Drosophila melanogaster: one gene and its partner. The protein of the gene in region 1 interacts with the protein of each later gene in a pairwise test. Each region holds a gene or a part of one and is shown in the gene's direction. Other genes may lie near its edges.

The links.
Region 2: the proteins of Madm (region 1) and bun interact in a two-hybrid assay, tested with the Drosophila melanogaster proteins (one study listed by BioGRID).

Annotation. Positions count from the first base shown.
Region 1 is NT_033777.3:5,735,995-5,753,141, forward strand, and holds Madm (MLF1-adaptor molecule), read left to right. Parts: upstream 1-6,515; 5' UTR 6,516-6,990; coding exon 6,991-8,121; intron 8,122-8,973; coding exon 8,974-9,756; 3' UTR 9,757-11,144; downstream 11,145-17,147. Other genes in the region: CG2100 (uncharacterized protein), read right to left, coding at 1-262; CG1236 (uncharacterized protein), read left to right, coding at 795-934, 1,011-1,914; Sym (symplekin), read right to left, coding at 2,324-2,494, 2,601-3,523, 3,600-5,722, 5,784-5,977, 6,048-6,134. UniProt on the Drosophila melanogaster protein: May play a role in subcellular trafficking between the endoplasmic reticulum and Golgi apparatus.
Region 2 is NT_033779.5:12,538,134-12,553,507, reverse strand, and holds the start of bun (bunched), read left to right. Parts: upstream 1-6,896; 5' UTR 6,897-7,098; exon of another isoform or gene 7,099-7,865; intron 7,866-9,164; exon of another isoform or gene 9,165-9,568; intron 9,569-9,909; exon of another isoform or gene 9,910-10,332; intron 10,333-12,605; exon of another isoform or gene 12,606-12,607; 5' UTR 12,608-12,992; exon of another isoform or gene 12,993-13,853; coding exon of another isoform or gene 13,854-14,180; coding exon 14,181-15,374. UniProt on the Drosophila melanogaster protein: Probable transcription factor required for peripheral nervous system morphogenesis, eye development and oogenesis.

The DNA of each region.
Region 1 (17,147 bases):
AGTCGTACTTCTTAAAGAGCGCCACAAGGTCATTCAGCTCGGGGGTAAATATGCTTTTGAACTCAGGAGTTGCCACCTTCCGGAATGCCGGGTTTGTGCGCATCCTAGGTGGTTTTCCCAGCTGGGCAATCAATTCTGGAGAGACGCCTCGCGAGCAAACCATACTATTGGCCATCGACTTTAGCCAGCGATTCTGGGGGCGACCGTTGAATAACAGGAAGGCACGTGTGGTCAACTTTACGAGGAGGCTTGGTCCATTCATGTAAGATATTCGAGCCCGCCCGGCAAAACTTCTAAGCAATGTCGAAAAATTTAAGATCTAATGTTTAGACTCGAAAGTTTTGTGGTCAAATGTGATGTATACCCTGTAGTGCTGTAGTCGTATGTCTTACTCGTTCTTTGTGAGAGAAAAGTAAGTTATAATAATAATAATTCTGATGTTTTCCGTCAAAGATATTGACAGAAGATATTGACAGAGACATACCGTTATCATTAAAAAGTAAATATACTTTTATTCATAATATTTTTTTTGAGTGTGGTATTAATATTATTTATATATATTTAATATTCAACATGAAAATATAAAAATACGAATAAAAAAATTAAACTATGGCGGTAAAGGCAGTGGTAATAAGTAGCTAAAAATTTAAGCCGATGTACAGGGTAGTCTAAAGTCGAGATCCCCGATGTCTGTGATATTCCTTTTTTAGCGGATTAATGTGTAATGTAAAATTCGGGCACACTTACGGAACCTGTTACTTTGTTTACCTACTTGCTTGGAAATTTTGAACTCAATGCCACCGCGGTTGCCGTTCGGACAAGTCAGAAACTTATTGATTCAGGGACACATAATTCGAAGGATGAGCTCCCAACACAAGGTGTACGTAACCAGGCCGGATGTGGATGACAGCGGTCTGGAGCTGCTGCGCAAGAGGTTTGTTTTTGTTGTTGTAACCGGCTATTTAGTTATTAGCATAGACACTAATTTCGACATGCACGATTTTGCTCAGCTGCCAAGTGAGTACCTGGCATGAGACCAATCCGGTGCCCCGCTCCGAGCTTATCCGCGTCGTGGCCGGAAAAGATGCCCTTTACTGCGCTCTAACGGACAAGGTTGACAAGGAAGTCTTGGATGCTGCCGGTCCTCAGTTGAAGTGCGTGGCAACTATTTCGGTGGGTTACGATCACATCGACGTGGAGGAGTGCAGGAAACGTGGAATTCGAGTGGGCTTCACACCGGACGTCCTAACGGATGCCACGGCAGAATTAACGCTTGCCCTGCTTCTGGCCACCAACCGCCGACTATTCGAGGCCAACAAGCAGGTTTACAACGGCGGCTGGAAGTCGTGGGCCCCCATGTGGATGTGCGGCCAGGGACTGAAGGGCTCCCGGGTCGGCCTGCTGGGCTTCGGCCGCATCGGCCAAGAGATAGCGGCACGCATTGTGCCATTTAAGCCGACGGAGATAACATACACAACACGATCACTGCGCCCCAAGGAGGCGGCTGCTGTGAATGCCCGGCACGTGGACTTTGACGAGATGCTTCGCGAGTCGGACTTAATCGTAGTCTGTTGCGCCCTAACCCCGGAGACTAAGGAAATCTTCAATGCCACTGCCTTTCAGAAGATGAAGCCCAACTGCATTCTTATCAACACGGCGCGTGGTGGCGTTGTAGACCAGAAGGCCCTGTACGAGGCACTGAAAACCAAACGAATTCTAGCAGCTGGTCTGGATGTAACGACGCCGGAGCCATTGCCAATCGACGATCCTCTTCTGAAACTGGATAATGTGGTTATTCTCCCCCACATTGGCAGCGCTGACATCGAAACGCGCAAGGAAATGTCCCGGATTACAGCCAGAAATATTCTTGCTGCCTTAGCTGGCGATAAAATGGTAGCCGAAGTAGAGCTGTAAGCCGTGTAATCTCAGCGTACAATGAATTTTTTCCACATCTTTTTAAAAACATCTGTTTGTAATTATGTACAATGTTCTAATTAAATATTTCGTACTTTCAAAGGTATTTTAAAGGTACTGAAATTATTGAAACACTTGTATTACGCCGATGACAGTGCTCGCAATGAACTGATCCGTAAATGGTCGTGGCCACTCAGAATCGAAATTTTTGTGTTATTTGCGTGGGGTATACTCCCAATCTTTTGATCATTAACAAACAAAATTATATTCCTTTATAATGTATGTGGGTGCGGTCAAGACCTTGGTTTTATGTATTATCGCCTAGAACAGTGAGTTTATAAAATTATAGACCTTATCTTATTAAGTAATTTAAAAATGTGTATGAGCAAACAAAACAATTAAACTGCAACTAGTCCTCGCCAGGCGGCAGGGGCTGGTTAAGATCACTGCCTATGGGGGGAGGAACTGGTAGTGGTACTAGAGACGTCAGTACGGGCACTGTGGAAATGACACTAATTTCTGATGGATCCGGTGCCTCTTTTTTAATATGCTCGGCACTGATGTAACCGCCGCTTTCGTCCTGAAAAGAAGATACTCGTATGTAGTAGCTGAACGTCTTCGATATTGGTTCGGTATTTGAGTTACTATTATTTCATTTAAGACTAAATCAAAAAATGCATAGTTACCGTCACGAACACATCAACTGATTTCCCGGAGATGATGTCCAGAACCTGCTGGGTTATACCACTACCATTCATTGGTTCATCCTGCATGCTCTCCGCGTATTCCGACAATGCTGGCCTTAAATCGGGGCACTGCTGCAGTGCGTCCACCAGCTGGGCGGGAGGAAGGTGCAGCAGGATCGGCATTGACTGCGGTTTCAGGCGCTGCACGGTCTTTAAAAAGCCCTCCCAGATTACTTTTTGCCGCCAGACCTGCTTGATTATCAGACGCTGCAACAAGTTCATTACAAAGTTTGCCAGACGCGGGTACAGAGTTAGACTCTGAATTGTTGTGCGCATCATCAGAGTAGGCAGCGGAGTAACCTCTACAAGCTGTTGCAGCACAGCCATAAGTACCTCCTGTGTGTACAGATCTCTTTCAGCCAAACATAGGGATGTAGCCTTAACGATGGCTTTAATATCGCAGACACTCGTATCGATGGTGTGCAAAGCCACGAGAATATCAGTGGGGGTCATGGCCATCGTCTGATGCGCGAATTCGGCACCGATACCAAGCAATCGATTGAAAACCTCCTTGACCACAGCGGGATTAAGTTTAATCAGCTTCGGCAGAACGGAAATTAGCTCGGATCGGGTTAAGCCACTTAGCACGGGTATCATCACGCGCACATCCTTGACCTTGTTCTGGTAGAGATCCCGAACCCGCCGAACCAATTCTTCATGGGGGGATGGCACTCGCTCTGTCAGTATGTAAATTATACGGATCACTAAGGTCTCCATACCCTTAGGACAATCCTCGATTAGTTGCAGCAACGTCGGGCTTTCTACACCCATCTTTTTTATGGGAATATCTAGACTGCGCAAGATCGTGCGTTTCAGTTCGGCAGATGTAGAAACAAACACTTGACAAATTTGCTGTAAGTAAACTATCAGGGGAAGAGAATATTAAGAAATTGATTTAATAGTTTTTTTCTTCTTTAATACGGGACAGCAACAACTTACCTTCCGGTTTATAGGGCAGCAGGGTAAAGGCCAAACCAAAGCACACCTTGGTAGTGTCTTCCCGCCAATCAGGCTCCTCGGTTGGTCGACCAAAGTCCTGCGAGAAAACAGCTGCCGGCGGAGATTCCTGTTCGATAAATTTAAGCCACTCCAGAGCGAATTCGTCTATTCGAGCCGGTAGTATTTTGTGTACATGGTACAGACTGACCAGGTGGGCCTGTGCCAGATCCCGCAGATCCAGTCGCTCATGCACAGAAAAGTTGAGCAACACTCTAACGAAACGATTCTTTCGCGGCGGCCTAAGCACTGCAAGGTCCTTGATTAGCTCCAGGCCGTGCTGGGAGAACTCGTCGTCCAGGCTTAATTGAACTAGATGTCCAATTGAGACTTCCGGAAGAATGGGTGCTTCTAGATATACTCGACGAATCAAAATAATCTTATCCTTGTGATCGCAACGCTCTCCAATGCCGAAGATAAGCTTATTCAGCAACTCGTTGTAGGCGTGATCGGGTCTGTTCTCTGTCTTAACATAAGTGTGCCTTGTAAATCCTTGCAGCAGAGAGTACTCCTCAAAGAGCCAGGAAAATGCCAAATCGATACGCTGTTTTATATCCTCCAGGATGAACTCCATGATGCCGTAACGTACGTTATCGGGAAAGGTGGCAGCAATCACGGTGACCAGCTTACGGCGCTTTGATGACACTCCTCCCTTAATGCATTGCCGCTCCGAGTTGAGGATGCGACGCACTGCATCAGTTAGGAACTTCTCTTTTAAGTTGCGTGGCAGAGGCTTGGTGATCTCCTGCAGCTTCAGCGTCTTGGCGCGCTCCTTCATCTTTTCAATAACAGTCTGCTCACCCTTGGCGCGCTCCATGGTCTCGCGCAGCTTCTTGGTTGCTTCCTCCTTACGCTGAAACTCTTCCTCACTCAGTTTTTGAACAGCATCCTCGTCCACTTCCATTGCAGTTAGTGTTGATTCAATCGCTTGCACTTTCTTAACCCGCATTGGCGGCTCTCGACTGAAGGTTGCGGCACCTGGGCCTAGGCGCTTTTCAGATAGTTGTTCGCCAAAAAATCTGGAGATATTGGTTACCTGCTGCTGAATAGACATTTCGCGAATGGGTGTATATTCCTGAAGGAACTTTTGTGGCACCTCAGTGGGCAGACTGGGCAGGAACTCCAGCACCAGGGTCACAACAGTTTCAGGATTACGGAAATGCTCTGCCAGAAACTTTTCGTTAACTCGAGTAGACTTCTGTTTCTGTCGTTCCAATTCCTCAGTGTCTAGCTCCATTTCTCGCTGCTGCTGATCCTGCTGCTCACAGGCCAAGCGCGCACGCTTTGCAAGACTTTGCGCAGCATTTTCGAGGATGCGTTTTTGTCTACGAGCCATTTCCTGTTTGTCCATTTTGGGAATAAGCTTCTGGATCTCATTTGTGGAGGACCCCAGATCAACTAACATTCCTCGGATAGTGCTTGCAAACTCAAAGGCACCGCGGTTCTTCAGCAATGTCTGCAACTGCATCTTAAGGCTCTTACGCACGGAGCTTACTTGCGAGTCAGTGAGGGTGGGCGGCAGGTTGGCATTCAGCTGCTTAAAGGCTTCCACCACGGCGCCCATGAAAATGGGTCGCATTTTGGCAATTGTACACAAGCTGCTTGTGCAGGCAATCAAGTTCACTGAGGAAATATGCGTTGTTCCGTGGAACTGAAGCAAGATATCTAAAATATTGTTGCCCTCCTCTTGCAACTTTTCACGGCGGAATAGTGTGCAGTGATCGGGGACATCTGCCAGCGAGAAGTCTCCATCTCGTTTCAGACTGTCCTCGTCAGCAAAGCTCTGCAGAACCACGACGCCCTCCAAGAACTTAATGGCATTTGTACGTATGCCGTCGTTTTCATTGTCGATCATGTCCAGTATTTGCGCCTTGATTAAGCTGAGGATGTTCCACGCCTGCTCCGCACTGTCGCCGGGCTCCATGAGGCTGCACAAGTACTGCAATCCATTCTTGTAGATGCTACCGCAGGCTTGGATCACTCTTTTGATTACCTGAGCCGAGTTATCCCTAAGCAGCATAGACACGACGTTAATGACATGGGGCAGTAACTCCACCTTCACTTTACTGGGATGGAAAATATAAATCGTTTCAGCAAGAAGTTAGATCCTTTGATGGAAATCCTTACCAAACTTGCTCTACGAAGGCGACTACCTGCTTGCGAACCTCCATGTTTGAGTCGTGGGCCAAAGACAGCACGGACTCCAGGAATTCTTCGGCCAGCTCCGCGCACGATCCAAGCACAGTCTCCTGCACCTTAGCCAGCAGTTCGCACTTTGTCGAAGGCGATGCGATGACCAGCTCATTGCACCAATCGACCACCTGAATGGGAAAATATATGGTACAATACAGCAGTCCGGACTGTCTTGTCTGATTAAGATTTGTGTTCTACCTTAGCTCTTGCCGTAGCTGTCTTCTCGTCTGTGAACAGATTGGCCGTCTCCGAGACAAACTGGCTGCGTCCAATTATGCTATCCATGTTTGGTTAATTGATGCAGATTTTGCCTAAATCTGCGATACTTCGGATATTTTTAAGAGCTGCCGGCACGGATGGCAAGGTGTTATCGGTACCATTGAGAAACTATCGAAAACGGTTCTATGATGTTGGTAATTCTGCATATTTCCGGACCATCTAGCTATTTTTTGCCAGCTCTTAATGTGTTCAAAAGAAAAAGAATATTTTACTAAAAACTTGGCTTATAATCAAATGAACCGCCTGCAAACTAATTTTCCTTGCTCGTTACCGTATAAAAAATTAATAAATCACATAAATTAAGCCATTTTTGGCATATCTCAGCTTAACGCGTTATTATCGATGAGCATGCCGCAGTTGCGCTGGCCGAGCGATATGCGGGGGTGACTATCGATAAGCCAGAGGCATCGATTTGCTCACATTTCTTGGGTGTTTTAGCGTGAAAAAAACGCCTAAATAAACGAATCGGCAGCGTGTCAGGCCAGAAAGTGCAACAAACGGATCGCAGTTCGCGACGCAGTCGAGGATTGGAACAGAAGACGCCGTCGAAGGTGCCGAAAAACGTCCCAGCAACCGCCAGCCGTCGCAGCGGAGTGTTTACTGGGCGAGGGGTGCAGTGGATGAGCTGTGTGGGCGCGTGCGTGTGTATGTGTGCGCCAGTGAGTGGGGCAGAGGCAGCGGCAGAGGAGCAGCGGCGGATGTAGCTCGTTGCCCGGACCCCGTAGTGGATACCACGAAAAGCTAGCGCAAACGTAGGCAGTCCAACAAAGAAAATAAACACTGGAAACCGAAGACGACGAGGCCTTCTGGAACTGGAACAGCACTGCTCAACAGCCGCAGCCGCGTCGGTGACCGCACCCTAATGTCAAATAGCCAAGCGAATGCCGGCATCAGCGGTAGCACGGTAGCGGATGAACCCATCCAGCACCACCCTTCCTTGGCGGCCGGCCCCGTAAGTGCATCCTGCCCAGCAGCGACCCCGCCGTCGCAGTCGACGCAGCAGCCCCCGCCGCACATAGTTAGTGCCTCAACAGCTGATGCGGGCAGCAGCGCTGCGGTCGGCGTCGGCGTCGTAGCTGGCAGCGAGGGCGTCAATCTGGACTCGTCGCCACGCGAGTCCGGGGACGATTCGGAGGATGAGAGCGAGATTTTGGAGGAGTCGCCATGTGGACGCTGGCTGAAGCGACGCGAGGAGGTGGATCAGCGTGACGTACCCGGTATTGACTGCGTCCATCTGGCCATGGACACCGAGGAGGGCGTAGAGGTCGTGTGGAATGAGGTGCAATATGCCAGCCTACAGGAGCTGAAGTCGCAGGAGGAGAAGATGCGGCAGGTGTTCGACAATCTGCTGCAGCTGGACCACCAAAACATTGTCAAGTTCCACCGCTACTGGACGGACACGCAGCAGGCCGAGCGACCCAGGGTGGTCTTTATCACCGAGTACATGTCGAGCGGATCGCTGAAACAGTTCCTCAAGCGCACCAAGCGCAACGCCAAGCGGCTACCGCTGGAGTCGTGGCGCCGGTGGTGCACTCAGATTTTGTCCGCACTCAGCTATTTGCATTCCTGCTCGCCGCCCATCATCCACGGCAATTTAACCTGTGATAGCATCTTCATCCAGCACAACGGCCTGGTCAAGATCGGCTCGGTGGTCCCGGACGCGGTCCACTACAGCGTCCGGCGCGGCCGAGAGCGGGAGCGTGAACGCGAACGAGGCGCCCACTACTTCCAGGCGCCCGAGTACGGCGCCGCCGACCAGTTGACCGCCGCCCTCGACATCTACGCCTTCGGGATGTGTGCCCTGGAGATGGCCGCCCTGGAAATCCAGCCCAGTAACAGCGAGTCAACTGCCATCAACGAGGAGACCATCCAGCGCACAATCTTTAGCCTGGAAAACGATCTGCAGCGCGACCTGATACGAAAGTGTCTCAACCCGCAGCCGCAGGACCGACCCAGCGCCAATGATCTGCTCTTTCACCCATTGCTTTTCGAGGTGAGTTTTCAAGTCAATTATCTTGTTCTAAATGCTATAAATTCAAGACCCGCATAACAATTGCCTTGTCAACTAGACCTTGCATTCTAATTCTCGGATCCATCGAGTGAGAGATTTAGTTTAATAAGACACCTGATATTATTAAATTTTATTTTAAGTAAATAATTGAAATCTGAAGATTTGAATAATTATATGATTTAAATGCACCGTTAAATATTTAAGTTCTAAATTTGGTTTTATCCGAATCATATCGTAAATTATCTTAGAATTTAATATATTATATTCATGTGTATATTATATATATATGTATATAAATGGAAGGAGAACTAGTAATCAGTTGATAATTCTACAATCCATTTTGACTGTAGTATATTATTTATTGCTCACAGTCACTTATATCTTAAGTTCAAGTTGTGGTTAATATGTAACTATACATTTTATTTTGATTACTGAGGGTCTGTTGTTTTATTTTCATACCTGTTACTATATTCGTTAAGAGGAAATTAACGGGTAGAAGGAATCGTTTTCAGCCCTATATTGTTAGCGATTCTTCATTAGAATCGTCCACTCCAACGGAAACCCCATAGAACTGCCACGCCGATACTTTGGTCTTATTTGTCTTGTCAATATCCATTGGTATGCCATTTTAAAGTGTGGAAACTTCTCGTTTGCACTTCAACTTGAGTCTGATATTCGAGAAAAACAGTGTAGCGTTCGCTCTTGTTGACTTTAAAATATAAATTTGTACATGGTTCAAATGACATTGCAAGGTATTCTTATAACACTTTTATAAAGGTAATTAACTGAAAAACTCAGTAGTTAATAATCAATTTTTTGCTGCTATTACTACAGGTGCACTCCCTCAAACTGCTGACTGCCCATTGCCTGGTCTTCTCGCCCGCCAACCGCACTATGTTCTCGGAAACCGCCTTCGACGGCCTCATGCAGCGATACTACCAGCCGGACGTGGTTATGGCCCAGCTGCGGCTGGCCGGCGGCCAGGAGCGGCAGTACCGACTCGCAGACGTTTCAGGCGCCGATAAGCTGGAAAAGTTCGTCGAGGACGTGAAGTATGGTGTGTATCCGCTAATTACGTACAGCGGCAAGAAGCCGCCCAACTTCCGTTCCCGGGCCGCCTCCCCGGAACGGGCTGACTCCGTAAAATCGGCCACGCCGGAGCCTGTGGACACGGAGTCGCGGCGCATCGTTAACATGATGTGCAGCGTTAAAATCAAAGAGGATAGCAATGACATAACCATGACAATACTGCTGCGCATGGACGACAAGATGAACCGCCAACTGACATGCCAGGTGAACGAGAACGATACGGCGGCGGATCTCACCAGCGAACTGGTGCGCCTCGGTTTCGTCCACCTCGACGACCAGGACAAGATCCAGGTGCTGCTGGAGGAAACGCTTAAAGCGGGCGTTATGAGCGACGGTGCCGGGGCAGAGAGCTCCGGTGCGGGGGTGACGACCACGGCGACCATGGCGGCCTTGGAGCAGCTGGAGCGCAACTGGTCGATATCCTCGGATGCAGACAAGCAGGGCACTGCCGTGATGTATGTACCGCAGGAGCAGCAGAACGCGGACGGGGACGTCGACGTAGAACACTCGGGCACGACGAGCAATTGAAAGTATCAGCTTAGTATTCAGGGCATGCCGGCGCGTATTGTTTTTATTATATTGGGAAATTACACATTACGATTTTATTAATACTATTATTTGTTATTTTTATATATATACCTATATATATGTGTATATGTATGTATGTATTTGAAATAATATTTATGTATGTATGTATCATAAACGATGTTGAACCAGGCTTCCAGGCTAAAGATTTCGATGACGTGGGACACGCGGCAGACAAAGGTGGGTCGCCTCTCGCGAGCACGATGAACATTCAAAATCGCAGGAACACTTAGCGACATGTCTTAGAGAAACTATAAGTACAGTATAATTCGCTTAGCTGCATCGATAGTTAGCTGCATCGGCAAGATATCTGCATTATTTTTCCATTTTTTTGTGTGAATAGAAAATAGAAAATAGAAAAAAAAAAATTAAGTTAGCTGCATTTTTAAGTTACCTGCATCGAGGCATTGTGCAAAGTACTCGAGGCAGCTAAGCGAATTATACTGTATAACAATAATTTAGCTCGAAATCGTACGCGGAAAGTACCAAACATGGTTCAAAACGATTCGTTTGTTTCCATGCCTGCTAAAAACAATGTTATTAGTCCTTTAGTTTCTTTGGTAAATTTGCTAGGAATTGTTTCGACTCATGTCCCAATTGAAACCTCGATCCACTGCGACACCTCGACACAAACTTTTGAAAAAAGCTGCTAGCGAGCTTGACAAAAACCAAAGCATTCGCTTAGCACAACTCTGAAACGAGCACGAATGGAATTCGCAGCTCCGACTAGCTGCGGCTAGACAAGATTCGAATACGAAAACCCAGACACATTAGATTTCGATAAACGAACATCTGGACGCCAATGTAAGGATCATTTTTTCTAGGACATTATCAAATTTCATAAGCTAGCCATGTCGCGAGAACAAACCCTAAAACCGCTGTGGAATGTATTTAAATGTATTACAAATATAAACAAATACGCAAGGCCACGAAAAATAATAACTAAATTATTAAACTAAAAACTATGAAAACACAAGCAGAGCATGCAACAAAAAAATACACAACAGACATAGCTACACTACTATTAAACAAATAAAGATGGCAACCAGCTGACTAAATACAAAGTCTTTTTCTTTGTTTTCTAAGCTAGTCGAGTTAAATTAGAATAGGGGCAGATAATCAGATTTTAGTTTTCTTTTGATTTATTATTTTCTGAGAATGTGCTAAAGCTATATTGAAATTAAATCCCGTAAGGTGACAAAAAGCCATTTAAGACCCACGGACATATGAATTACTCACCATTTCAAATTTGTTTTTACGAGGTGTACGGATTATGAGCGGAGTCACCCGGTGCTTCAGCTGTCTTAACAGCGGATTAACATTTTATATATCGATGCTAATTGAACTGAACTGTATTCTTTCTTTCGCTCTTGTAATTTTGCGGTCATAGCGATCAGACGTGATTTTTGTATATGAAAAAATAAATGAAGTTAAATAGTGTATATATGATTCTTATTTGCGAACCCCATTACAATGATGTCAAAGCAGTGAGGCATCACAACTATTCATTGGTGGCCCATGAGGGGAACCTTGCTCATAAGAATCATAATTAATAATTGCTAAAAGCTGTTTGGCAATTTTATCTTCGTGGTCGGCTTCATCCAGATAAATCACCGTGCCTACGTTTTCTATCGCGCTCGCTCTCATCACGACAGAGCAGTATACGCAAACATTCGCGCTCGCTCTCATCACGACAGAGCTAAGTCCCGTTGCCCTTCGATTCCGTTAGATTTGCCGGAATCTCTGCCAACTCAAAAAAACAAGACGTCAAAGAAGAACACCGATAACATACGAGCATTTGTGCATATTACATACAGTGGAGCAACGTCAGTATAAACAATGTCGAAATTTGATCAACTGGTGCGAGTTCAAACTGACCGCATTGAGTCTTTGAAGCGCTTGTTCAGTAATGTGAAAAAAGACTCGAGTGCGCGGAAAACGGAAATATATTTCGAAAAACGTTTGAATCAAATCGACGAGTTTAACAAAGAATTTCATCAGGCGCATCACACACTTATATGCATGGCAGACTACGAAGAAAGTGTGTATAAGCAACAAAATACAATCAGCCAATTCGAAGACCTGGGCATGGAAGTTTACTGTTTCGTGGCCGAAGAAAAGAAACGAATTTATCCAGGCACAGTGACGCACAACGAATCAGCTAACTCTACAATAACAACACATGTAGAGGAAGTACGGATACCACTGCCAAAATTACCAGTTCCGAAATTCTCTGGCAACTGCGCGGACTGGCCAAGTTTTCATGATGCATTTTTACGCTTAATTCACAATAATGAGCGTCTGGATAAGATTCAAAGGTTCCATTTTTTAAAGGAAGCATTACCAGTAGGCCTGGACAACGACATTCGCCAAATCGCTTTAACTGAAGCAAACTATGAAGTCGCTTGGACCACACTTCTACAACGATATAACAACCCACGAATTGTGTTCGCCAGCCACATGAACATGCTCTACAACTTACCGAATCTTTCGAAAGAAAAATCTGCTGACATACGGTCTATGGTTAGTACAGTCAACGTCTGCATTGCCGCTTGCAATACCGTCAAGGCGCCACTACAGGGAGGAGATTTTTGGTTGACTCATTATCTAACAACCAAACTACCCAAAGACACTCACACAGCTTGGGAGCATCATCTGGGCAGCAAGATTGACGTTCCTTCATACAAAGATCTGCAACAGTTCCTCAATGATCGACTTGTTACGTTAGACGCTATTGAAAGCCGTAACGCGTGCAGCGGCATGAAACAGTCAAATGAAACTTCAGACGGTACTAAACGCGTGCGTGTGCACAGCGCCCACACCAGGTCGGGTGCTTCCGCGTCCGCTTGCTATCATTGTGGCAACTTACACATACTTCGAAGATGTCCGCAATTTCTTTCAATGGATTGCTACCAACGGAAGGAAGTGGCCAGCAAGGCAAAATTGTGTCTCAATTGCCTGGGAAAATCGCACACACAAGCAAGCTGCCCCAGCAACAAGAATTGTCTTCATTGTGGTCAACGTCATCACACGATGTTACATTTTCCAGCAACACAGCCAACGCTGATACCCTCCTCGACATCATGCCAAAGTTCAGCAGCCAGTTCAGATGCCAAGCCGACTCTACAGTGCATGTCAACTACAACTTCATCTATGACTCATCGAAAGGTACTACTAGCAACAGCTCGGGTTGTACTCAGTAACACACAGACAGGATGCCAGGCCACGGTAAACGCGCTTCTTGACCAAGGATCGGAAGCAACTATCATTTCGGAGCATGCTGTACAGTCTCTCCAGCTCTCCCGAAGCACAACTCGCACTTCAATCACCGGAGTCGGTCAAGATTCAGGACGACGCTGCAAATTCATCGTAAGTTGTTCGGTGCAAACAGCAACTAACCCAAATTTCTCGTTAAAGGTCGACGATGCTTATGTTTTGAACACGTTGACATCACACATGCCAAGTCAAAGTTTTCCAGCAGGAAACTGGAGTCATATCCATGGTCTCATGCTCGCAGACCCCTATTATTATAGATCCAAGCGAATCGATATCATTTTTGGAGCCGACCTTATGGCACAACTCTTGTTACCTGGAACTAAGATTGGCTTGCCAAACGAACCCATAGCGCAGAATACTCAACTCGGATGGGTTCTGTTAGGCAATGTTGGCAACACGCATATTACACGCCACATTCGATGTAATCATGCCATAATAAACTCCGAAGAGCTGCTTAAGGTATTTTGCGAGGTAGAATCAGTTCCAGAACGCCCAAAGCTCTCCAAAGAAGATCAATGGTGCGAGTCTTTCTTTAAGCAGACCCATCAACGTCAACCAGACGGCAGTTATCAAGTCCGTTTGCCATTCAAGAGGAACTTTGACCCCAGTATGACGCTCGGAAAATCTCATCAGATCGCCCTGAACAGATATCTTCAACTCGAAAGGCGCCTTCAAAGGGACCCAGACAAATGGATCAGATACTGCAAAGGAATTGAAGAATATTTTCAACTAGGTCAAATCACGTTGGCAGAGACGAGCGAAAACTCAACCATAACCACGGATTCCTACGGTCGGCATGTTGCATCATGCGTGCTACCACATCATGCAGTTTTCAAAGAAGAAAGCCTCACCACAAAACAACGTATCGTTTTTGACGCATCGGCCCGGACCTCAAATGGCAGATCGTTAAACGATGTACTATGTGTAGGTCCCACGCTGCAAAATGATCTGCCAGCCGTTCTCTTGAATTGGAGACAATATCAGTTTGTTTTCACTGCCGATATACAACGAATGTATCGCTGTATCAATGTCCACCCTGATGACACGCAGTACCAGAGGATTTTATGGCGGGCGGCGGATGGAGTCATCAAACAGCATTGCTTAACTACCGTCACGTTTGGAACAGCGTCTGCACCTTATACAGCTATAAGAGTCATCCATCAAATAGCTGAAGACACACAGACAAAATATCCTATGGCATCCAACGTTCTCAAAAATGAGATATATGTCGACGACATTCTCTCAGGCGATCATTCACAAGAGGCAGCAATACGGAAAAGTTTGCAAACTATGCTAGCTTTAAAATCCTCTGGCATGGAGCTACGAAAATGGGCTAGTAATGACCAGGATCTGATGGCAACGATACCTCTCGAGCATCGATGCAAGCAGACATCCCTCAGTTGGGACAATGCGGACACCATCAAAACACTGGGTATGTACTGGTTGCCCAAGCAAGATTGCTTCACTTATAAATTACTAGCAAATACTCCAGCCGGTATAACAAAACGAGAAATCCTATCGACCATAGCACGTTTATTTGATCCTCTTGGATTAATCGCTCCAGTTGTAATTTCAGCAAAGATTATATTGAAAGAAATCACACTAGCGAAGCAATATCGCGAGGACGGATCGAGTACCTCACTGGATTGGGATGAGCCAGTTCCCAACACCATTGCCGTCAAATGGCAACAATTTCGACAGCAACTAATGAAGGTTAAGACGATCAAAATACCACGCAGCGTCAAATTTACGCCACTATTTAGTAGTGAGATACAACTGCACACCTTTTGCGATGGATCCTCCAGTGCTTACGCAGCAGCAGTGTATGCACGCACCCAACAGTCTGATGGGACTTTCTATACAACGCTCATCGTCGCAAAATCAAAAATTTCGCCAACCAAGCCGTTAACAATACCGCGCACTGAGCTATGCGGTGCAGTATTAGCTACCAAACTCACCAAATGGGTGCTGGAGAATAACCGATGGACCAATGCACATATATCTACCTTTTACTGGACCGATGCTACCATTGTTCTGCACTGGATTAAAGGAGACATTACTAGGTGGAAAACGTTTGTAGCCAACCGAGTGTCTTACATTCTCGACCACACCTCAGCGGCTCAGTGGCACCACATAGACACATCGGAAAACCCAGCAGATTGCGCAACCAGAGGCTTACCACCGAGCCAAATACCTGATATTTGGTGGCATGGCCCATCCTGGCTATGCAAACCACACAATATTTGGCCAAACACGCAATCACAATTGCTCAATCCAGAAGAACGGGATCTGGAGGCCAAATCCATAAAAATTAGAGCCTTCACTACCTTGTCAGACACAAAGGATTCTATTATTGACCGATTCTCGTCGTATACAAAACTGCTACGTGTCACGGCATACATGTTACGATTCTGCCACAATGCTCATGCTCGAGCACAACGAAGTCACGGATCACTCTCTCCTGACGAGCTGGATGAGGCCCTGTGCTGCATAGCTCGCCTTGCACAATCCGATACATTTCACGCCGACATCCAAGCGCTTAAAAGGAACAAGCCGTTACCACCCCGTAGCACACTTTCAAATCTTACACCGTTTCTTGACAACAATATCTTGAGGATTCGTGGCCGTCTCAAGCATTCAAATCTCTCTTTTTCTCGAAAACATCCAATTATATTACCTCATTGTCACCTATTTACAGATTTGGTAATTCAACACTCTCATCAGCTCACTCTACATGGCGGCGCTCAATTAACACTGGCTCACATACGCTACAAATTCTGGATTCCCAGAGGCAGACAAGCAGTCAGGCGAATCATCCGGAAATGCGTCACATGTTTTAAGGTAGCTCCAGTCGTAGCGAAGCAATTGATGGGTGACTTGCCATTACATCGAGTCAACCCCCCAACTCGTCCGTTCATTACAACAGGAGTTGACTACACTGGTGCGATTGAACTTCAAGCCGCGCGTGTACGAGGATCAACCACCTACAAAGGCTATGTAGCCATTTTTATATGCTTAGCAACCAAGGCGGTCCACTTGGAAGCCGTCACTGGACTTTCAACAGAGCACTTCCTGCAAGCATTTACGCGATTCACCGGACGTCGAGGACAAGTTCAACATATGTATAGTGATAACGGCACAAATTTTGTTGGCGCGAGTACATCGCTTAACCAGCCCATCACTTGCAAGGCAGCCCTAAACGAATCGACATGTCAACATGGGACAAGGTGGCATTTCACACCTCCATATTCTCCCAATTTTGGTGGCATCTGGGAGGCAAACGTGAAAGCAATGAAGCATCATCTTAAACGGATCGTCGGCAGCCACAAGCAGACGTATGAGGAGCTTACTACAGTTTTGATCAGGATTGAAGCATGTTTGAACTCACGTCCACTTTGCCCGCTAACCGCCGACCCTGACGATTTAGAAGTACTAACTCCAGCACATTTCTTAATTGGTGACGCACTACTGGCACCGCCACAAGGTCGGCCGAATAATAAGCCTTTGCGTGAACTATTTCTCGCACAACAACACATGACGCGACAATTCTGGTCTCAATGGTCTCGTGATTGGTTATCACACTTGCAAACTCGGCCAAAGTGGTGCCAAATCAAAGATAATCTTAACATCAACGACTTAGTCATTATAAAGGATGATAATCTACCACCAGCTAAATGGACTATAGGCCGAGTCGTCGAACTGCACCCTGGATCGGACTCGCTAGTCAGAGTGGTTACATTAAAGACGAAATCTGGCATTCAAAAGAGGTCAATCACAAAGCTTTGTCCACTTCCGATTTCAACATAATTATGATCAACACACGGATCAAGAATCACAAGGAGCCTTCATGCTGGACGACGCATTGGCGGGCGGCATGTACGGATTATGAGCGGAGTCACCCGGTGCTTCAGCTGTCTTAACAGCGGATTAACATTTTATATATCGATGCTAATTGAACTGAACTGTATTCTTTCTTTCGCTCTTGTAATTTTGCGGTCATAGCGATCAGACGTGATTTTTGTATATGAAAAAATAAATGAAGTTAAATAGTGTATATA
Region 2 (15,374 bases), on another chromosome or scaffold:
ATTTGCGCCGATCAGTTGGGGTTACTTAATGGGTTTATTTCAAGAAGAAAACTGTGGGAAACTAACTGACTCAAATGAAAATAAAATGAAAATTTACCTGGAGATGATTTTCAAAATATTAAAAGAGTTTTATGGAGGTAATTTTAAAGAAAACTGAAAAACTTTGAAGAAGAAAAATGAAAATCCAGTCTTAATCGTAGCACTGATTATTTGTTTTTAAATTGGAAAAAATCAAAATAAAAAACATGCTTAAATGCGATGTCCAACAAATCCCAAGACGGTAATTTCCGTGCGTTCCAAACTCATCTGAAGAATCTTACAAATACATTTCGTGTATCCCCAGGCTCAGCGTGCAAATAAATCTTTTGGATCTTTGCAAATGCGAAATGCTTATTTTTATGCGTTTTCAATGCCAATTCGATGGCAAAACCAACAAAATCACATGGAAATAATGGAAAAGCAATTTCCATTTCTACAAGGGAGGCAGTGAGACACAAGAGCAGCGTATACAATTCCCCAGCAGCGATTTGACCATTAAAATTATACCCACAGGACGAGCAGGCATAAAAAGCAGAGGATGCGAGGTGTTCAGGGGACTGTCTATATCTCCAACTTGAATATATGAAATCGTTTGGAAATAGCCAAGCGACCAAATTGGCATTTGGAAAATTGCACAACGACAGAAGAAGATGTTTGAAAAGAGTTTCCTTTATTTTTTTTTTTTTTTCGTTTGGTTGGTTGGTCACATTTGGGTTCTCGTTAACTGCGTGGGCGGTGGAGTAAAAGTTGTAGGAACACTGGGGTACGTAACTTCCTTACGTGTTGGCTGGTCATATTTTAGAAACTAATGTGACATTTCGATTATTCGATTGGATTTAATGTGTTTTATGAGTTTTACGCGCTCCAAACGTTTCGCTTTCTCTGCCACGGAGTGCGTGTGCTCGTTGAATGGGATGACAACCCTGGCAGGAGCGGTGCACACATATGGTTAGGCCTTGTCATCGCCTTGATTCAGAGATAAATGTCCTGGGCGTGGAGAACAAGTTCAATAAGAGAAATGTTGCCTACAAAATGAACGAATCCTTGGGACGACATTTTTATATTTGTTTCAACTATTATAGTTTTAATAATTTAATAATTTATCAAGTCATAAGGTATGTTGAAAAACATTCTTAACATTCTTAAGATACAATTATTTTAAAGATATATTGATTTACAGCATCTTACACTTGTTACGCAATGAAAAAGAACAAAATGCAATTTTAGGAATACCACATGCAATGCGTGAATGAACTTATTAAGTTGTAGTTGTAGATTAGAATATCTTTGAAACGCGAGTTTCCAAATAATTTGAAATGAAACAAAATAATTTATCTGGCTCTTAATTTTTTTCGTTTATTGGCAATAAAATCCAAATATAGACCGCAATATGTGTACTTGCCGGAATTCACTTATGCAGCTCCCCATCATCGTCACGATCTCCGGATAAAGAAAGCCAAAAGAAAAAAATGTGGTCATTTCCCTGAAAGTTCTCCCTCCCCCCGGCCGACCTCAACCCACCGGCAACTGCCATTCAAAGTTTAACTCATTTGTATGCCAAACAGCAACAGAACTAAAAGTTTTTTCATGTGCCTCCCCCACTTGGTTATATTGTATATATATATATATTCCACTTTTTTTCCCTCATCTCTTTTTGCGCCGCTCGGCACTTATTACTTATTACTGGACGATGGGCAAGGGAAAAGCCCTAGACATGCGAGACATGGAAATTCATCATCAAAAATGAATAATGTCTACACTTAATGCGACCCTGGATGTTGCAGACCCGAAACCAAATCCAAACTCCAATCCCCCAGTAGTTTCTTCCCTTGGACACTGAGGTTAAGTCGCATCGCACCCTGCTGAATCGCAATTCGCACCCCATCAAATGGCGGGGCGTGAAGCCAATGGAAGGCCCGGCAAATCCGTGTAGATCGGAGATGGGTCCTGCGGAAGGTCCTTTGGGGGGGGGGGGGGTGAAACGGTTGCTTGAATATTAATTGTGCATATGTAGACGAAGACCGGAATGAAAGACCCCAGCACAAAGGGAAAAACAAATGCGCAGACTTACGAATGCAGGCGACGTGCATGGCCACTGCCAGGATTGATGCAGTGTGTCCTGGCACTGGCGATGGGGGCATTGAGTCCTCAGATCTCTGAGTCAGAATCTAATAGATTTCTGCCAAGTGTCGAGATAAAAACATAATGCGAAGGCGGCGGGCTGTCAAAGGGAAATTACTTATACGATGCGGAAGCGGATGATGAGTATGTCTCTCAGGGGAATCCAAGTAGGTATGCCACAATGCATTAAATACCTTTCGCAACTTTAATTAGAAGAAGAATTAAAGTAAGATTTAGTTCATCAATGGGTTAACTAGTAGCATTTTTAAGGCTAAAAATTATTCAAAAAATTGTATTATTTTGAATCAAATCCAAAAGAACTATTTCATTTTGATCCCAATGAAGCACAATTTGTTGCGCCTTACGTGTTGCAATCATTCAACAATTGCGACACTTATGATTATGTGCACGCCCTCAAGAGCCGTCAACCCCTACCAAAATCAGATGATAGATATCCATAGGATGGTATGGTGAAAAAGTGTGGCTGGTAAACAACCCCAAATAGCCAAAAATATTTAGCCATAATTTCCGACCAGACTTATCCACTACGAGATCTACTGGGCAAAAAAAAAAGAAATACTGAGCAAACGAAACATTTAATGAGCTTTGAAATTGTTTTTTTTCTTTGTGCGCCTAATTTAGTTCTGCAAAATGAAAACCATTGAAAATGAAAGGGAGCTCCACAAATCAGGAAAAGTTGTTATATTCCATAATGCTAGTCATAAATTATGGGCAATTAATATGTAACACGTTAGATTCGAATGCGATTGAACAGCCTCTAATGGCCAAGTCCTTTGGCCATTTGTCAGCCTGGATTTGGCCATAAAAAAGCTATCGCTGGATCCCCAAAAGGCCTACGCCCCCGTAAACTCCTTCACTTTCGCTTTCCAGATAAATCACCATTAAAAAAACGGAACGCGTTTCGCAACGGACAATCCGCTGGCCAAAGGGACATAAAATAAAATTAACTTAAAAAGCAAATTCACGCAGACATATTTTATGTGGCAATGTGGCAATTCGGCTTTTTTTGGCTCATAACTCAATGGGCTAATCCTTTAAATAGGACATTCATGTTATCCTGCCTAGACGTTGCGGCCATTAAAATTAAATTTATATCTAAAAAAGCTACGCAGATAGTCAACTGTCGCTCATATTGATATTTATGACATTTGCAATGCATTGTAAATCCTATTGGATTGTTATTAATGCTTATACGCGTATATGTTTTTTGTTTACTTGTCGGGAATCAGGGAATTGGATTATATATATATATGTTTTGAAAGAAAAAATATTTGTTTTTTGTTGATTATGCTGCACGTATTTAATTTTTTTGCTTATTTTAATAGCTTGATTTGTAGTTTTTCTACGAAAATTGCATTTCTTTACACTGACTAATTTTCTTACAATATCAACTCAATTTACAATTCATTACTGTTTATAATTTCTTTCTTGCACTGGCCGCAGGATATTGGTAAGGACTCTCTCATCCCCCGGCAGCACAAATTCGTGAGGGTTGATTGGAAAGTTTTTGAGCCATCTAATTGGACGCTTTCGCCTTTACGTTTGACATTTTGCGCTCTAAAAAAAAAATGTTTTGCTTAAATTGTTGAAATCCGCTTATGGTCCTTAAAGGACCTCGGCCATTTTGGTGTGTGCCCAGCACGTTTTGTATTCAGTTTCGAATTTCGTTCGCCATTCGAAACTCAAATTGATCGGTTTAAGTTCTATGCTAAGCTACTTAAATGTCCTTAAGTTTCTATAAATGTAAGATGAGCCTGTTTGATGTGCTTTAAGGATATTTCTTCCTTTTTTTCGGATGCTATGTTTTCTCTGTACACTATTTCCCACTCCATCGGCAACTAAAATCGATAATATGCAAATATTTTTTGCATCCCCCACACACACACACGCGCGTAAAACAAACATAAATGTGGCGAGTCCTGTGTCCTTTAGCCTCCCCTCCCCCTCTCCCACACACACACACACACACACAAACTAAATAACTAAATACGCATTAGCATCCTGTCGGATTTTCCTTTATTATTGCCACGGCCGTCGGCGAAACGAAAGAAAACGAGATGCGTGGGAGGCAGGCAGGCGTGGCACGTTGCACGCGCTGCTCCTGCGGCACAGTGGGACAAAAGCCATTTTATCCCAGATTTTTTGAAAGTAAGAGAAATAAGAGGAAATACCTCCCATCAAGTCCAATACCACAAACAACTTAGGGATAATTTCCTACTATATTATATTTGAAGTTAACCAGTAGTATCTATTCAGAAAAATTATAAAAACCAAATTAAATTAAGATAAAATTAAGAACATTACATTTACATTACAACATTAATAACATTTCTGCCCCACTGTGCAGTACCCAGGCAACTGCCAACGTTCCAAATGGCAACAAATTCAAACGAACTTGTATGCAGAGTGTGACTGAAAGCATTATTAATAGAGAATGTCGGCGGCTAAACTCAACCACATATACTGAAAGCACTCACATACACGCAAAAGGGATATAAAAGCAATAAGGACATTCATCTTCATAATTACGGGCAGCGAAATGAGAAGAAAGTGCGAGGATGCGAGGATACGATGTGGCATACGCAGAGAGGGAAATTCAAATGAAACGCAAAAGTTTTGCATATGCGTTGGGGATGTGTATGCTGCCAACGGAGTTGTGTATTTCCACCTACACAGAAGAAAAAAATATTTATACTCCGAATCACAAATCGTAGAAATGAAAACTTCACAGGCAAAGCAATATACTATGTAACTATGTAAACTGTGTAATTGAAAAATTCACAGTCACAAAAAAGAATCTAGAACTTATTTTCGTTTTATCATAATCTGAAATAACATGAGTTATTATATATTATCTATTTTTCAATACAGAAAAATTAAAACAATTTCAAAAAAATATACATATGTAATTTTTTAACCTTTTTCGCTCAGTGTGTGCTTGACCAAATGGGCATCTCATGGAAATGACAGTTAAGCCCGCCAACGTTGGTCACCCCAATGAATGCCGGAGCCAGCATTTTCTTCCCCACGAATGCAATCAAATGGAAATTGTTAAAGAAAAGGAAAAAATGCCAGTGAGCACGATTGAGTGGATCGCAGGACTTTTGGCATTTCACAAGGGTGCAACGCATCGGTCTGCACTAATTACGCACCAAACATGTACGGCAAATCGTCAAACCTTTGAATGCCACAAGCGAAAAAAGGGGCAGTTTTTGGGGGGCGAAAAATGTTTGCCAAATGTTTTTCCTGCCTGCTGCAATTTAAATGAGACGTTGGCCAAATGCGAGGGTGTCGCCTGCAGTCGCTGTGTGAAAGTGGGCGGGGCGGGGCGGGGCTGGTCAGTGGAATTAATTCTAATCCCGAACACGTTCCGTTGCGAACGAAGTGGTCAGTTGCGATATACTATATAAATATATATATAATTGTATATACATGCATATGTACATATATAGAACTCCTTAGTGGAGTTTCAATTGGTGGAGGGTGCGTCGATCATTAGCGTGATTTCTTTCCGCTTTGACAAGAAAATCAGAACGCTTCACTGAACTCCATCAGGACGAAAAAAAAAAGAAAAAAGGAATGTCTTAGTCGAATGGTGTGACTATTAGATACCCGTTAGCCAGCTTAAGAAAGTTGGTAAGAGTTGAATATATTTAAAGTCTTAACTGATTAAAGTTAGCAAGCAGAGTATCAGCAAGGTACTTAATTAAAAGAAGAACCAAAGAGTTAAATAAATGCAAGAAGGTAACAAGCAGCAGTGCGACTATCAGATACCTGTTACTCCACAAAACTTTCTTGAGAAGTCTTAGCGCTAGAACAGGAAATGCTCAAAAGCAGTTACATAATTACTGGCAATAATTTATGTTTATTTTTAAGCTTTAATAAACATCAATAGAAAAATTTAATAGAAAAAATAGAAAACTGAGCGCCAGTTCTATGTATCTATTTTGTTTATAAAAACAAGTAAAGTATACAAATTTAAGCATTGTTAAGGTATTAATTTTCTTAATGATTCAAATTATTTGTTACATATATTTTTATAAAGATTTACCAATCGAATTTTAGTCGTTTGAATTCGCTTAGATTCGTTGAAATTCGCTTCTAAATCAAAGCAAAGAAGCGAACCAATGTAAAATATATGTAAATGTAAAATTGTTGGTTCGGTACTTCGACGCGGGATCTGTTTAACGATTTTTTCAGTGATTTCGACACAAAAAGAGTAACTACTGCAGTTATTTTGCTAATAAAAAATTTAACTATATTATATGATAATTATAGATGATATGATATTAAATATAAATATAATTAAAATTTATAATAGTCCGATTTTTGACCAGAACTTATTATCGACATTATATAAGCCCATTATATACAAAAATGATTCCTAAAACAATCAAATAAAAGTAGAGTTGTGCCACTCGCCTTAGTATAACTTAGTTCTAAAGTATATGTTAATTTTATGTTAAATTCATTTTCGAATAATGGAAAAACGAGCGCCAATGTTGCGCTAGGGATTTCTAAACGATATGTAAACGATATCGTATATCGCACGACAATCGCCTGCGTGTAGAACTTAACAATCGATAGTTGTATTTAGCACAGAACCAAACCAAAAAATGCTAAAATATCAGTTTTGAACAGTATAGTGTGACCGCTATATGTGCCAAAAATCCCGTATTCAGTATTTGGTATTATTATTTGATATTATATTTTTATTGGCATTTTGAGTTGGGACAAAAACGCAAGGCAAGTTGTTGGTCTTTTTCGCTGTCTGCAGACGGATAAAAAGTAAAAGAACGCAAATCGAACGCGCCGCGAACGTATTGCAAAATCGCTTAACTCGCGGCGCCCTTGAAAACGACGAGGAAAAGCGAAAAAAGGCTGCGAGAGCTAGCGCAAAATCGAAGAAAAAACTGTGTATGTGCGTGCGTGTGAGTGTATGAGTGTGACGTGTGCGTCGCTGTGTGTGTGAGCGAGCTGGCATGCAGATGTAGAGATGTGTGTGCGCTGCTGCTGCGGCTGTGTGTGCGTGTAAATTGAATAAGAAAACGGAGCACAAATGGCACTGATGGAAAATTTATATGTGCGCTGAAAAATTAATTTATTTGCAAAAAGCCAAAGAGCTGCGAAAAGTAAAGTGACAAGCGGAGAGATGTGCAAAATCGAAAGAACGAAAAATTGTGGATTGCCGACTCTCTGCAGATTTGAAGAGAGTGGCAGCGAAAGAGAGACATAGAGAGAGAGTTTGTGTATGTGTGGGTGTGAGCCGCCTTTGCCAGGAAAACTAAAAAGAAAAAAATTCCCTGGCGTTAAAATTTGCACAAAAAATGTTGAATTCGATTGTTTGCTTTCCGCAGTTCGGCGTTTCGCTTTTTTTTTTTGCACAAAACTTTTTTCGCCAATTTTTCATGCACGCTTTTTCGTTTATTTAATTCCTCTCTCTCTCTCTCCATCTCTCTCTCACTCATTTTTTCGCTCTCCGAATCGACTCTCTCGCAGTGCTCTCCGCTTTTTGCTTGTGCACAGCCAAGTGTCAAAACTGTCATTTACCTTCCTTTTGTCCGATTAGCAAAACGCAACGAAAAACTAATATCCCATCCAAATTAAATTCGTGGCCGTTCGCTTGTTTTAAGTTTATTGTTTTACGCCAAGAAACAAGTAATTTTAAATTGTTTGACATACGCGTAAGTGTGGTAAAAATGTAAAAGAGAGGCCTTTGCCTCTTAGTGCAACAAATCGATCAGAAAGTAACCAATAAAAAAGCAAAGCAAATCGAAACATGTTTCAAAACGAAGGAAAAATCAGAGAAATTCAATGAAACAAAAGTGCAAAACAGTCGCGTAATTGTTGGTGTGTGTGTGTGTGTGTGTGTCAGCGTGTGTGCCCATCCTTTTGGTCTGCTTCTTCACTTTCGCTCAGTTGTTGTTGCAGCTTGCACTTTGTACCTTAGATTTTTCCCATTTCCTCTTTCCATTCCCATTTCTCCAAAACAGCTGGCCAAGCATTTGATTAACTCCAATATTCCTTCGTTTTCTACTGTATTTTATGTGCCATTTACCTTTGTTTATAATGTCAGCTGGCCCGGCATTGTTGTTTATTTTCTGTTCTGCTTCGCCTTGATTGTTTAGTCAAGTGTTAGTTTTGTTTTTGTGCCATTTTGCAATTTTCTGCTTATTTGCCATCCGATATTATGGGGTAATTTTTTTTTCATATGTGATTTTTAGTAGAAATTCATATAAAAAATTGTGTGTTCTGTTTGGTTAACGGTAACTCGAATTACACACAAGTGTTTAGAATTATGGATACGTATTTAATAACAGCGGTGTGCAATAATAGTAGATTTGCAAAAACCAACCAGCATTTCTGAGAATATTAATTTCTAGTTTATGAACTAAAATATGAAATTCACTCTGTATGAGTACCCTTTTTATACAAACTTGAAATGAATAAATCTGATTAGCTTTGAATGCCCTTGAACCAATCTACAATATCTTCACGATCATAATGATCATCCCTTTTAACGCATCTCCGATTTCAAAGCAAAACAAAATAAACCTCAGGCCAGATCGGTTTTCTTGTCAAGCCGCGTGGCAAATTTTTCTGCTTACCATGCACCATTTTGTAACTATAACTGGACGATATATTTGCGTTTAGGAATCGGATACACTTCAGATTTCTGCCAACTCTTTGATACAACCGATGGCACAAACTCAGAAAGGTTTGGATTGTTTTGCGAGTTACTTTCATAGGTATCGGTATCAAGAAGTTGCAAGAAATAAGCTGGGGTTTCTTGAACAGGGATCTATCTGCATAAAAGAAATGCGTGTGCAGACAGTCACGTCGACCAAACCAGAATTCAATCAGTTCATTTTTTTTTGTAATGTAGGAATTTCGGGGTTGATTGCTAGCGGAAAAGTACCAATCTTTCAACAACTGGTTAACTTTTTGAATGAAACCATCATAAAAAAATAACTAATTATTTTATCTAGGGTATTGTCACTTTCGGTACATTTAACACCTATTTGCACCAATTTTCTTTGATGTCTTGTTGCTTTATTTACATTCTGCGACTCAATTCAATTGAGAAATTATATTCGATTTCAATTGTATCTGAGTATCTCATGGATGCATTGTCATTGTAATCTCTAGCTTGTTGTTGTTCCTTTTGCAGCCGCCTCCTCCTCATCTTCGTCGCTGCTCTTTTCTCGTTTGATAAACATTTTCATTGCCTTCTCTCTGCATACATCGCTCTCTCTCGCTCTTTCGGGTTCTTTTACTTCCTCCTACAACGCCTTCGTTTTTCTTTTCCTTTTCCCTTGCCATTTTTTTTGCATTGTGAATCATTTCCTTGCGGAAAGGAAAAGAGCGAAGAAAAGGTGGGAAGTGCCTGTGGGTGAAAGACAGGAAAGGAAAGTCACTGATTGAAAAGTTATTAACTCGGTTGAATTTTCATTATGCATTATTTAACACCCTGGTGTCCTTAAAGTTCAGTTTTATATCTGTCAGCAAGGTATAAATTTTTAGAGGATTTTTTAGAGGATAACCCATTTATTTTTTGTTTCTATTTTTTGCTCCTAAAGGCCTTTTTTGTTATATCCCATTTTCGTTTTTGTTTTTACCGATAGTCTTAAAGTTTAGTAGGGCTTGATAAGGTTTTGATGGTTTAGCTGAGAAAGCAGCAGTGCATTTTATTACCGTATTTTGTATTGGCAATATATCCTGGCTTACCTTTGATGCACTGCGAACAATCGGGACACCTTTCCTTTTGCTTTTCATCTTCTTCGGCTGCTGCTATCATCATCAATATTGATTACCGGCAGCTGTCCGAGAGCGGGAGAGTGCGAGCGAGCAGCCGCTCTCCTTTTGCGGTTTGTTTGGTATGCGGCCCCCACCCCGTCCCGCCCACTTGTAGGCGCCCACGTTGGTAGGAAGGAGCATGTGGATGTAGATGCGGTTGCGGAGGGGCCAACAGGCTGCTCTCGCTCTCTTGCAGCTCCCGCTCTCCGATTGCAATTTTCTCAACGCGCATTCGCTCGCTCACACTCACTCTCTCTCGCTCGCGCTTGCCTCTTTCTGTACTATCTGTTGTAGTTGCTTTTCATTACATTTGTTGTTGTTGGCTTGCCATCGATTTTATGCTTTGTCGTTGCAATTAGTTCTTCTTCTGTTGCTTGCTTCTTGTCTGCACTTTTAGTTCTCATTTTCTTTTCACCCCATCTCCTTGTTGTTGCTTTTGCTATTGAGGAAGGCAGTGAGCAGAGGCAGAAGTCCTCCTCCTCCTCCTTTCCATTCGCCGATTTGTTTGTGTGCGAAATCTGGTGCCTACAGCGATACTTTGATTATTGACTGCCGGGGGGTTAAAAGGGGTCCCAAGTTTATTGTCCAGAAGATGAGTTACAAGAATGGATACTCCACTTCCAGTGGTTCTTGATGAATTGGGTATTCTGGTTCGGTTTGGGTGTGCGCTTTTTCAATGGATTAAATTCTCTAATTGAGCCAATTTCGTCTAGATTAATTATCCATTCTAAAGAGCTATTGGTTTTCATTCATAACAACTGATGCCCAATTACCACAACTTTACTCCCTCAAATTATATTCGAAATCAACTTAAGTTGAAGAAGAAGCTTTGGGCCAACACCTGCGTGGCTCAAGAACAAGGCCAATAGACTCTTAAACCCCCAACAAACAGCAGGCCAAAAAACTAAAAAAAAAAAACAAAAACAAAAATACCCACCTTGAGAGAGTGCTACGACCAATGTTGACCTATAACTGATTTTTTGTTATTCAGTTGTTCTTCTGGTTTGCTGGTTTTGTTGGTTGTCTCTTTTTTTCGACTCTCCTAGCCACAGAATAATCAGATTTTTTTGCGTCGTTTATAACTCGATTAGGCAAAAGAAATAAAACAAAATTAAGCGAGAGAGAAAGAATAAAAGAGCAGCGTCAAGGTCTTGACTTTGCCTTCTGGCAGGGCAAACGCAGAGTTCAAACGCCACTACAGTAATCACTCAAAAGTCTATATATGAATTATTATATAAGTTTAGTATTCAGGTCAACAAAATGTCCCTCTAAACAAAACCGTTGTATGAAAGATATTGTTTTGTATATTTAGATATTGCTTTAATGACTCAATATTGAATATTCAATTTGATCTTCTTATTTTTGCTTAAGACCAAAAAAAAATTAATTCAAATTTTCTAAAATTTAAAAAACGATGGTTAATTATGAAGAATCCTTATCGAGGGCCCACTTTACTTAAACACACAAGTACACTCTCTTCTAAACAGTCCACGCAATTTATGAATGATCGTCGAAAAGCTTACGGTTATTAACCAACACAAGTGCGGAAAAAACGGCGCGTGTGCCCGAAAATGTTTGCAAAACTTTTTCGGCAACATTTTTTTTCGCGAATCATTTTGTGGGTTGCCTTTTTTATCTCTATCTCTTTGGTTAGCGGACTCATTTCTGATTTCCGTAAACGAAATCGATTAAATAATGAGCGAGGGCGAAAAAATCAATGCCGAGAGCAAATAAATATTTGAATATTCAACTGCAAATGCAAAAGATAATAAGACAATCAGCTAAAAATGAAAGGAGACTAAAAAAAAGTGTTAACAAACAAACAGACATTTGGCTTCTTTTTTCTCACTGGTTCGGAAGGAAACCCCCTCCGTTAAAATCTCCTTCCTCTAATGTAGCACTTAACTAATTCAACAAAACTACGACGTACCCCCACAACACCGACAACTCAATGAAATCAATAATAAAAAAAAAAAACTGAGGCGAAACAAAAAATAATGAAAAGCACACAAAAGCATCATCAACATCGTCATCATGATGATAATAAACGAACATGAACTACGCAGTTATGAAATTTAACTAGATACTTATAGAAAATCAGCCAATAAATACACAGTAGCCGGTTGGGTTTAACTTCAAGGGAATACTAAAATGTAGAATTTGAGCTCTTTGATTAGTTTATTTAGCTCGGCCACTAGATTTATGCACCCTTCAGGTAGAAGTCAGGCTCATCTTACCCATTTAAAACTTAAGTTTCGCCTATTCCTGGCGATAATTTCAAATGAATTGAAACGTACACTTTATTGAGCGAAAGATTATTTACTTTTCGTCATAATTTCATGTTTTTAAGTGCTCAAACGAACTCATGACAATTTTTTTTTTCTTTTATATATTACGTATACGTCGTGTTGCTCTGTGCAATTATTTACCTCTTTCATTTTCCACTTAAGCCCCACCCCCTTCGCGATCTTTGTGCTTGGCGTCGTTTTGTGTGCTTTTAATTTAATAAACAAATAATGGAAAATAATATTCATGTTTGTTCTTGATCGAATTTCGTACCTCTTGCTCTCGTATTTAATTTAAAATGAATTCTAATGGTATTTTCTTTTTCTGCTCTGGCATTTTACAGGATTTCATTTCTACAATTTACTGCAATGTGCTAGTAAAACTGAACCGATGAAATTGATTAATTCTACGATAAAGATATAGCTGAATTAAACCAACAAATTGAAAACCTATGCGTAACCGTGTGACGACAAAGTGGAGAAGTGCAACAAATTTATGAATATAGAAGTAGATGAATAGAAATTCCAAGTTAACCAAGATCACCAAAATATTTTCATAATTTCTAAGAAATATTTTAAGTGTGATACCAAGTTTTGAAACCACGTTTAAGCAACAAGCCTACTTTCGAAAACGAATCATCCAACTGTAGAAACTGAATCAAATCGAATTGATTCGATTAACAGCTGTGCTGTACACATGCACCGGTGTGTGTGAGAGGCTGCGCGCGTGTGCGTATACGTGATAGATCCGTGTTCGTGTGTGTGTGTGTGAGTGCTGCTTATGTGTTAGTGTGTGTGCGTCGGTGTTGTTGGCGAAAATTGAAACGCCCGCTAAACAAAGTCAAGCGCTAGATGGCGCTCTCGCCTGTGACCAGTGCTGTTGTTGTTGTTGTCGGTGTGCCACACACTGTTGTAGTTGTTGTTGATGCCGCTGCAGCATCAACAAACCAAACGCGGAAAGTCAAATTATAACCGCCCACCAGCCGCCCGCAACACAAAAAAAAGAGACCACCTAGCCCCCAATAAATTGTAATTTAACAGCCTAACTAAATCAACTCACCCAACACAAATAACATACACAAATTAATAAAGGAAAAATAGTAGTAATAGTCAAGAGTTTCGCATTACCCATCGTCGGTCGGTCGGTTCAAATTGCGTCGCGTCGGGTCGCGAACGTCGCTAGTCCTCGGATCGGATCGTATCGTATCGTATCGTATCGGATCGGATCGGATCGGAACAGAACGGAACCCTATAGAAGGGACGGTTACGGATTAGATTGGATCAGTTGGCAGTCAGAGGCACCTGACAACGCAACGGTAACCGCTATTATGCATCGGCGTCGTCGGTTGGCCAGTGCAACAATCGCATTCGAATTGGCAGGCGTGCAGCAGCTAATGCAACAACTGACAGAACTTAATTAAACAGTCTAATAACTATCATCATAGTCCGTAGTGGATAACTAAGAAATCGAAACTAACCGCAAGTTGGTATAGTTTATAACTTTTTCCGTGGCCCCAAATAATCCAAGAATCGTTAGCAATCCTGGATTATTTGCTAAAGACTTTGCGCACGCTGAAATCCAATTCGATTATGGCCGAGAATCAAAGTGCGGCCAGCAAAGATTCCGGTCACCAACAGCAACATCAGCAGCAACAGCAACAGCAACACCAGCAACATCAGCAACCACTAGCCACCACATCAGTCACGGCCGCTTCAACCACATCGGTCTTAGCTAACCAATCGCCCACTAACTCGCAGGCCTCATCCCCTGAAAATTCCCAGGAAGCACTGCCCTTGCTCCGACGCCAGCAATCAGCCGCAGCAGCCACAGTAGCAGCAGCAGCAGCAACAGTTGCAGCCACAACCAGCGGAACATCGCAGCAGCAGCAGCAACAGCATCGCAACAGCATCAGCAACATGTTCGATCGCACGGTGAATGCCAAGTTCAAGCCGGCTTCCTCAAATGCCGGACCTGGCAACAATCCGGTCCGTCGGAACTCGATGCTGACACCATCCCGTGGAGTCACTATCGGTGGCACTGGCGGTAACATACGCAAGCTGACCAAGGTCAGCTCACTGACCAGCAACCATCACTTTGCTGTGTGCTATCCACCCAGCAACATCTATCAGAATAGCAACAATGCCGGCAGCAATTCGGCTTTGCAGCGCACCACCAGCGAAAGTTTGCGTTTGAACATGATGAGTCGCGTGGCAGCTGGAGCGACACCCACAACGGTGTCCAGGGCCAGTAGTAACTCCAGCCTGGCCACATCCACCTCCACATCGCTGGCACCCAAGTCCAGCAGCAGCAGTGGTGGCAGCAATTCGACACCGCAGCAGCAACAGCAGCAGCTAGTGAGCAGTAACAACAGCAGTAGCAGCAGCAACAACAGCTTCACCAAGGCCAGTTCGCCCAACAATAATGGAGCACGTTCGGTGGGCGGAGCAGCTACGTCAGCTGCTACTGGCACAACCGCTGCAGCAGGCAGTCATCATCATCAGCCACATCACCACCATCATCATCATCATCACCACCATCAGCATCACAACCACCAGCAGCAGCAGCAGCAACAGACTAGCCTTAGCCAAGGACACGCTTCGTTAACCGTTGCCGGTGGATCAGCTTCAGCTGGTGGTGGTGGTGGCGGCGGCAGTGGAAGCTCCTCGGGGACCGCCGCTGGTGGCACCAATCGCAAACCAAAGACGACTTCCTCATTCGAGATCACCTCGGTGACGGTGGGCCATCCCAAGTTGAATGCTGCCGGCGATACTGGAGACGAGTCGGCCGATGATCTGGACGAATCTCACACGGATGACAATAGTCGGATAACGGACCTGGAGAACGAGACGCCCTCCATGTCGGAAGATACGTTCTCCAAGGAGGAGGTGTACTATGCCAACAATGCCCTCAGCACCAATGCACCGGTGATACCGACTAGCTCGCAATACGGCCTTGTCGTGGTGGATCCCATCGCCCCTTCGTTGGGCCAGACGATCCAGAATGTCCAGGTCAATGTATCGGATAACATTATCAATGTGGTGAGCGGTGCCGTCACACCGGGCGGCACCAAGAAGAAGGACGACATCAAGGAGACGCAGCACCGCAGTGAG